Linked DNA regions of Drosophila melanogaster. The protein of the gene in region 1 interacts with the protein of each later gene in a pairwise test. Each region holds a gene or a part of one and is shown on either strand. Other genes may lie near its edges.

The links. Proteins that work in one complex are often made in the same cells at the same time.
Region 2: the proteins of CG14635 (region 1) and Pex13 interact in a two-hybrid assay, tested with the Drosophila melanogaster proteins (one large-scale study listed by BioGRID).

Annotation. Positions count from the first base shown.
Region 1 is NC_004354.4:842,458-846,208, forward strand, and holds CG14635 (uncharacterized protein), read left to right. Parts: upstream 1-2,365; 5' UTR 2,366-2,379; coding exon 2,380-2,739; 3' UTR 2,740-2,840; downstream 2,841-3,751. Other genes in the region: CG43867 (uncharacterized protein), read right to left, coding at 655-717.
Region 2 is NT_033778.4:13,227,310-13,232,518, reverse strand, and holds Pex13 (peroxin 13), read left to right. Parts: upstream 1-2,284; 5' UTR 2,285-2,560; coding exon 2,561-3,231; intron 3,232-3,286; coding exon 3,287-3,516; intron 3,517-3,652; coding exon 3,653-4,074; 3' UTR 4,075-4,243; downstream 4,244-5,209. Other genes in the region: Qsox1 (quiescin sulfhydryl oxidase 1), read left to right, coding at 1-454; fsd (fates-shifted), read right to left, coding at 870-1,741, 1,803-1,869.

The sequences.
Region 1 (3,751 bases):
CAGCAGCACGAACTCCAACGCAGGCCTGCATTAAAGCGTGTATCCGGGGAGCACTGGGTGACAAGGGAATTCGATGTAGGCTTGTGTACCGAGCACACGCTGTGGAGCCGGATCCCTTTACCCCTCCCTTAATAGAAGTAGAGGCACTCAACAAAATACAAGGTGGTAATAAGGACAAAGCCTCTGTGAACACTTGGAACAACCTCATCTGTATAGATATATTTAAAAGAAATCACTGGTAGTCGTATCTTAAGATCTTTCTTTTCAATGAATCTTATAAAGATAGATTTCCGATTTTAGAATTTTGGAGTGGATGCACATACAGTGCTATGTAAGTTTAAAATTTGAATTAATTTCGCGAAGTGTGTGTCTGCCGCTTGAGTTGGTTACAAATTTTAGGTTGGCGGGCCAGTTTTGTTGTTAGTCACAGCTGTGAGTGGCCCCTGCTCGACGAACACCCCCCCTTAGCTACAGTTTCTCCATCCCTGTATAGAACATCATTGTCATGAAAATCTGGGGACCCTCCACCTTTAAGCTGTCCTCTAATGTGGGGGCTCTGTGCAGGATAGACTGGATCCCCTAACCATCGTTTTAATTTTGCCACCCAAGCGATAAGGATTAGAAGCGGGGGATGGGAGTCATTTAATGGCTTACCTTATCTTCGGCTTCCTCGGCGCGTTCTTCCGCTTCAATGACTCGCTGTTCGAGCTCCGTTAGCTGCAAGTAGAAAGAAAGAGACTTGGTTAAAACACGCATATATCCTTAATAACAGGATCTAAACATGACTAAGCATTAACAATTGTGGGATAATATTGATGTCTTATTCTGCAGCTTTAGTTTGTTATATATAATTACATTTTTATATTTGTAATTTATACATCGTTTCGTCAGATTTTCAGGAGTTCTTACCAGGTGGGTGCCCCTGCCCCTGCCTTTATATATATCTAAATTTTTCTTCCGACAACTATTAAAATCTAACTAATATTGTAAAAGGTTTGAAAAAATATACTTAATTAAATATAAATACTTTTGTAGATCTGTATGTAAAATATTACGTGGCGCCATCTATATCTGAAGGCGTGTTAATTCTGAAAATTGCCCAAGTAAAAGGTATCTGATAGTCAGGGCATTTGACCACAACGTTTCTTCATGGTTTTATTTCATAAGCCACAGAATACTTAATTAACTTTATTAGTTGGGAATTGGTTATACTTCCAAAAAATTATTCTTAAGCCTCTTAGTTTTCAATGGATCTGTAAAAAAATTTACAGTGTAATTTCAAATTCGATTCTACAACCCGATGTAAACATTTATCTGATACACCCTCTAACAAATTATTCAACTTAGTGCAGACACAAACCCTGATAAGAAGAAGTTCCCAGTATTTTCCGGTGTGGTGAATTCCGTTTGAGCTCTTAAAAAATGGTTATTTTGCGGTCCTTATGCTTTTGGGGTTTTTCAGCATGGGAGGTTTTTCATTGGGAATCATCTACCCAGCCACCCAAAGGATGGTCTATCCATCAATGAATCAATCATGGGAAATGACACACAATTTGCAGCTAATAGTAATAATGCTCTCTAGCTAATACAATTCATGTCGCTGGGATCTGCTTCTTTGCACCTGGTATTACGATAATTTTGGAAAACGGGGCTAATTTCGCCCTTGGTCGCTTGCTTCGCGCGTTCTGAACTCAATGGATTGCCATTTAAGAAAGGTGAAAAGCCGGCCGCGGAAATAGCCCTCGAGGAATTCCCGTCCAATTAATCACCAAAGTGGCCTACGGAACCCAAGAGTCCAAAGGGAGGAAGGGCGTAGAGGAAGATGGTTAAACGTCGCTAAGGGGTCCACTTGAAGCGCGCAAGAGATCGACTGCCGTCTATTTTGAATGTCTTAAGTGCATTAATTTCCGCTTTTTATGCCATTCAAGTGGCCACTCAGTTAAGGGGGCGGACGGGGGTGTGGAGCCCATTGATTGATGGACGTCAAATTGCTGTGCGAAATATGAAGAAGCCTCCTCTACCGATGATGAATGGCGGAGCGGAAGTGGCAGGAAACGTCAGCTTGACTTGATGGTAAGCTTTCATACATCTCTTCAGTCTGAGTTAACCTTTGCTAAGCTGTTTGAGGAGTATACTCGTACTCCTCTACTCAAAGGAGAATCTAACTGCATATCCAATCAAATGTGAAGTACAAGTACCGTCTAAAATTTCCAACATTGTTAGGAAGTGTTTTTATTTGTTCGCTTGGTCGCTTGGTAATGACTAAGTCTACTTAGTGTACTAATTGGCTGAGCCATTCCCTTTGCCAAAAACAGCTGCATAGCTGCACGATTATAAATAGGGTGGAACCACCGACAAACTCGCCCAGAAGCAACAAATATGTGCTCTAGTTTAAGCGACTTGTTTGCCTGTATCAGGGCCCAGGGAAATTCCGACACGGATTCCACCAGCACCACCCATCGGCGGAATATCGCTGACCTGGACGATGAGGCGCCCGATCTGCAGCTCCAACAGGAGCAGACCCGCAAGTGGAACGATCTTTCTATGCCACAGCGACACGATTCGTTTCCAGTTCCTCCTCCTTCAGCTGGATCTCCATCAACGGGCTACCTTCGTCCCTCATTGCGGTCAGCACGGGTCTCCTACGAAGCCTTGGAGCGCTACGATCGAATTTTTGGCAGATCTTTCCAAGACGCCGGGTCATCTGGTTCAGTTCGAAATATTCCCGACCAGTTCTAGGCGGAAATTGTTTGGGATTTCGGCATTGACATTAAACATGTGATCCCGCATATTCCGCTAAAAGTCGAACACAATAAATACATTTTACACATTTTCCTGACTTGACTATATGGACAATTTACTTGCATGCGATGGCTGGCTGGTGTTCGGCGCTGCGACGAAACTTGGCCAAACCATTGGATTAAACATAAAGCTGAAAAGGCAGAAAGTTCGGTTCGACTTGCGTGCGTGAAAGATTGCGAAGGTTTTACCGGATTTGGCCGTCCTCATCCGTACACCTGTTTAATCAGGGGCGTTCTGGCCTGCCAATTGGCGACTTAATTGGAAGGAAATGAAGCGGCGGCCTAAAGCAGAAAACATTTGGCATTAATTGCTGGTGGTGTGCCAAGGGGGGTTGGGGAGGGGGTCCACTTTCCTTCAGACACTTCAGACTTAAACACACAAGTTTTACAAATGTGGCACGCAGTCGCAACAAGAACGGAAACGGAAAATGTTATTTCGCAGCCACGAATGCAATTCCAGCAAACAAATGGCTCACAATGGGTGAAGTAAACCCCCGAAGCCACTACTGCCAAAGGAGGTGACTTTGCCCATTAGTCGGTTTAGGTGTCGTTTGCCGCTCTGCTGAAAGTTTCCAGCGAATGTCGCACTAAAAGTTGTCTTTCTCGCGATTGCGATACAGATGTGAATATATAGGAGGTCTTAAAGGGTGGGTGGACAATGCTGCAAGGAGCATGGAAGCAGATCTTGATGGGCTGCAGTAGCTGTGTCTTATCCGACTCGGAATTGCTTTGGAAGAAACGAGTTCACACTGACTGTATGCTACGACCGGAAGAAGAGCCCAATTGATAGGTCAACAATGAAACAGTGCAACTGCAAACTTGCTTTAGAAACGTATTACTCTGTGGTCTGCGCGTCGTATACGTAATGCGACCTACCGCCCCACAAAACGAAATAAAACATTTTAACAGTTTACAAACAATATTTTCATATTTATACTCATTTCCATCAG
Region 2 (5,209 bases), on another chromosome or scaffold:
GCCGAACAAAGAGGAAGCTGTTCTGTGGCTTTGGGCTGCGCACAACGAGGTGAACCAGCGCCTGGCAGGCGATGCCACCGAGGATCCAGAGTTCCCCAAGAAGCAATTCCCAGCGCCGGAAAGCTGCAACGAATGCTACCGCACGCCCGTCTCCAAGTCGGAGAACTTGGAGATCGAATGGAACAAGGACGCCGTGCTGGGCTTCCTCAAGAACATACACAATCCGCAGTTCGTTAGCCGGTACGGTGTGCAGCGGGAGGAGCTGCTGCATCCCACGGCGGACAAAATGCGGCAGAAGCGACAGATCTCAAGTGTCTTCACCGACATGGATATGCGGATGGGCATGCTGCTGTACGCCTTCTGCATTGTGATGATGGTGTTGGCATTTAAATTGTTCGCCTTCAAGGGATACCGCAAGAAGCCCTATGGCCACGATCTCCTGGGCAAGGTGTAGGTTAATCCGCAGGAAAGCTTTCACATATTCTAAACAACAAAGAAAAGACACCGAACACCGAGAAACGGAATTTAACACGCCACCTCATTGCATGATTTGTATTCGTGGCACCTAGAGTTATGATTAAGTTAAAAGTGTGTATATATATATATATATTGTATGAACGAACAGTCCTCTTCCAGTTGTAGTCCCTAACCTAATCGCTTTTTACCACGACGATGCACCTGATTGCTTTATTCTTAGGCATGCAAATGTGATTTTTCCCTCCAGAAGTGACAGTTTGAATAAAAACGATCAATGCTAGACGAATGTTCACAATGTTGTACACTTGTTATGGGCGGTAGCACTTGTGATAAGGTGCGAACACAGAAATAATGCAGATAAGAAAACTGACAATAGTTGCGTTGCGTGAGTTTTATTTAACGAATCTCTGGAAGTCCGGATGCCACCAGGGCAATACTTTGTACTTTTCGATGCGATCGTGCTTAACGGTTACCGACACATTTCGGCAGCCATCCTCGGCGAAGTCCAGCTCTAGGTTCTTGGCCCGCATATCCGTGCAGAGGAGTTCCCGGGTGGCTCGCAGACGGTAACGTTGCTGCTGAGGGCCATAGGCTAGATGGTTGGAAGTTGGCACGAAGTGGCGGCAGATAACAACAAGCAGAACCACACCCTCGTGGGGATTACAAAAAGTTGGAGCTAGCTTTGTCGCATCATCATCCGCCAGGGATTCCCAGTCATTTACGACTTCGCCGGTGTGCGTCTCCGTTTCGTCCTGCTCATGGGACTGTCGGTTCCAAAACTTGTAGCACATGATCCATAGACACTGGTAATGCGTCTGAAAACAGGAAACAAAGATGCGCTGCAACATCCAGTCCAGGTTATAGCCTAGCTCCAGGCGAACCTTCAGCGGTCGGTGGCAGTGAAAGAGCGCCGCGATGACAAGGGATTTAAGCGCCCGGGTCTTACAATTGCGTATCGACTCCAGCTGCAGCTCGGCGGGCAGATTCAGATTCCAACCAGAGGTGGCTCCGGTGCAGTGACGCCGGTAAAGATTGCGCCAAAAGGCGCGAGAAGCCACCAGTCTGGAGGTTTGTTTACATATTAGAGCGAAGGTCTGTACGTCCTCCGGATCAATGTGCATGGATATGTGGAACCAAATGTCATACCGCATGCTAATCACATTGTTGTTGTTGCCCTCCGCCATGGGCAAAGTGGGTGCAGTGGCTCGGAATGTGGACTTTTGCTTCACCGCGACGCAGACATCCGATTGCCGGGCATATATATCTGAGGGTGAGGTAAATTTGCACTGCAAATTCGGAGCACCCAAGTGAGCGGGTCAACTTACCACATTTCCCTTTACTACGGAATAGTTTGTTTTTAATAAACTCATCACAATCGGCATCAAAACTCATTGTGTTCGGCTCTCGCTGGTTCAACAGCTGTTGTTTGCTTGCGAGTTGGTCAGGTGGTGACAGAGTTGTTATCCGACGCGAATGGATTAAAATAACAATTATTAGTCTATTTTCTATGTTTTATTCTTTATTGTTATATATTTGTAAACTTCAAATAGTATGCAGAATACGAACGTCAAGAGACAGTTTGCTTAAAAAAGAAAACATAAATTTTGATTGAATTTAATGTTACTTTGTTACTATGGCGCAAGTATAATTATCAAAACAATTTGTGTTATAAAAACAACTGCATAAAGCAAAACTTTTGAAGGAGCTTAAGTAGTTTACAAGCTTTAGCTATTTACAGTTGATCTAGCCAGAGATATAAAGCCCAGATCTGGTAACTCTGTTCAAGTGCCATCACCGGTTGGAAATCTCGCTAAATCTAGCTAGAAATAGATAAAACGGTACAACTGCTAAAATTGATTAATTGTTAAAACAAAAATTTCGTCAAAGTTCGTTGATAAGACTCTCCTGGAGTTCCGAGACCATAACAACGAGCAATTCCGCACGAAGCGGTCACTTACCGTCCGTCCAAATCAGTGCGAAAAAGCGACTATCGAGCCGATCGTACAAAAGCAACTACCGTGCCGTGGGGTAAAGTTCACAGCACTTTTCCTTTTGTCCGAAGTCGAAGTCGGATTTTGTCACCATGGTCGACAACAATAACCTACGCAGTGCGGTGATCAGCGATGCCCCGCTACTGCCGCCCTCGAGCAGCATCGGAGTGGGCGTTTCAAGCGGCGGAGGATATCCGCCGGAAGCGGTGCTGCGTACTCCGTATGGCAATGTTAGGGCTCTGCCCGGACCGGCGCAGCCCCCTCCTCTGCCGCAATCCCCATTCCAGCAGACACAACAGTACGGTGGTTTCGGCAGCGGGTACGGCGGAAACAACTACGGACTCGGGGGTTATGGTGGTTTCAACAGTGGCGCCTTTGGATATGGTGGACTGGGTGGATTTGGAAGTGGACTTGGAAGTGGATTTGGAAGTGGATACGGGTATGGAGGTGGCTATGGCGGAGGCTATGGTGGAGGCTTCGGCGGTGGGTACAACAGATTTGGAGCAATGGGTGAAAACGATGCGGAGCAGCGGTTCATTTATATGGCAGAGTCCAGCTCGCGCCCGGCCTTTCAGAGCATCGAATCTCTGGTGTCGGCCATCGGCAACATCGCCTCTATGCTGGACTCCACATTCTTCGCGCTGACCAGCTCGTTTCGGGCCATTCTCGGCGTGGCCACGAACTTTGTACGGCTGCGAAGTGTGTTTGCCCAGTTTTGGACCACGTTTGCCATATTCCGCGGTCTAAACTGGATGTACAGAAAGTGAGTGCGGTGCAAAAGTGTGGAAACCGTTATAACTATATATATTTCGTTAAAGGATTCTCTATTGGCTGCGCCTATCGAACCTGGACCCTTCATCGGCAGCCTTTAAGAAGGCCTTTGCCGAGGCACTGAACGAAAACAACGGCCAGGCGAGAGGAGCACCTAATGTGCCGCGAAAGGGCAACTCACCCTGGCCGGTGCTGGCCTTTATCAGCTTCATCTTTACTGCTCCCTACTTGATCATGAAGCTGCTGGGAACCGTGACGAACACCGCCCAGGAGGAAGGTAAGACATGCCTGCACATTGCACAGCCCAGTTTATCTAATCGGGAGCACTTTGCTCCGTTCATGTGCTATAATCTGGCCGATAAGGCCTGTTCAGATAAGACTGCGAATAACGCTTGTGCTCTCATCCCAACCAGCCCGTAATCCGGCCAAGTGGACTGCGCCGATTCAGACTCAGGCCGTTTACGAATTCGTGGCTCGCAGCCCGAGCGAGCTTTCGCTGCGCGCCGGCCAAATGCTACATGTGGCTCCCCGCGACATCCAGCAGACGCTCAATCTGCTGAACACCGGCTGGGCTCTAGCCACCACCAACGGACAGACCTCCGGCATCATTCCAATTAGTTATGTGAAATCGCCACAACAAATGCGCCAAGAGATGCAGGATCAAACCAAGCCCGCTCAGCCACAACCCGAACTAATGAATTTGTCCGCGGGAGCCTTTGCGTCTCCTCCGTTGGAGCAGCAAATGAACTACGACTTTAACCTGGCTGCCCAGCAGCAGGCGCCTTTGGGACCGCCCTCAACGACGTCAGCTGTGCTGGGCGAGGGATTCGCCTGAGCCGACCAAATCCTCGGAGAATTAGCTTAAGTTTAAGTTACGTTCCGTTCAGCTTCTGTATATGTACGTCCACGTCCCTGTATTTTAGGTTAGCTTCCGCCTTTTGTATATTTCCATTTAGTTGTAAATGTTTATTAGCCAGCGATCCCAATGAAAGTAAACATAAACCATATGCGATGTCATGGATTATTGGACTTATTGCTTGGGTTGGGTGCAAGCAGAAGGGAGGAAAAGATTAAATTCTCTGTTTATCATATTTTACAATATGCAAATTACTTCTTTATTAACTTGTCACTCGGTTCGATTTCGTCTCACTTGTTTGCAATTTCCTTTCCATCCATGCAATTATTTCGTTTCATTACACAACTACATGCTCGACACTTAATTGTTAACGCCTTATACTTGACTACTAATTTGTATTTGCATGCTGTTGTATTCACTTGAAGAGGGTTCAATAATATAAATACAAATTCTGAAAATGTATATCGTGTTTTAATTGTTATTACTAATTAGGTAGGTTGATTATTTCGCAACTATCTGCACTCCCTTGTCAACTTAAAATTTGGGTTTTGAGAATCTAAAAGAATCGCTTTGTCAAAGGGTGTTAGCAAATTAAACATATTTCATATGTTCGCTCTTGTCTGCAGTTCAAACTGCTCGTGGCATTCTAAAAATAATTGCATTTCACTGCGGTTGTGTACAGTTTTGGTATATTATATTATTAAGAGACAATTACCCATAACATTATCGCTTTTGCTTAAGCCTACCCAAACATGAAAAGGCCATTGGGGGGAAAAGGGAGACTGATAACAACTAATTAGAGAGTGAACATTAGTCTGGGCATGTGGTTTCGCGGTATTGCCTTATGTGAATTGTGGTTTGAACTAAAAACGCGTTCTCCTTAACTAGACAAATTATTTTAAAAACGTTTCAGCTTAAACATAAATCTTCAATGATACAATTACAAACTGTGTATGCAAACTACACTTACATACATGAACTACCGAATCTTTCTCGTCGCTGCGAGATTGTATATATATAATTTAAGAGTCTCATTGAGAAGTAAACAAAACCAATTGTGTGGGTGGGTCGGATTGGGTGTGGAGTGGATTGGAGTGGAGTGCGGCTCCTGACT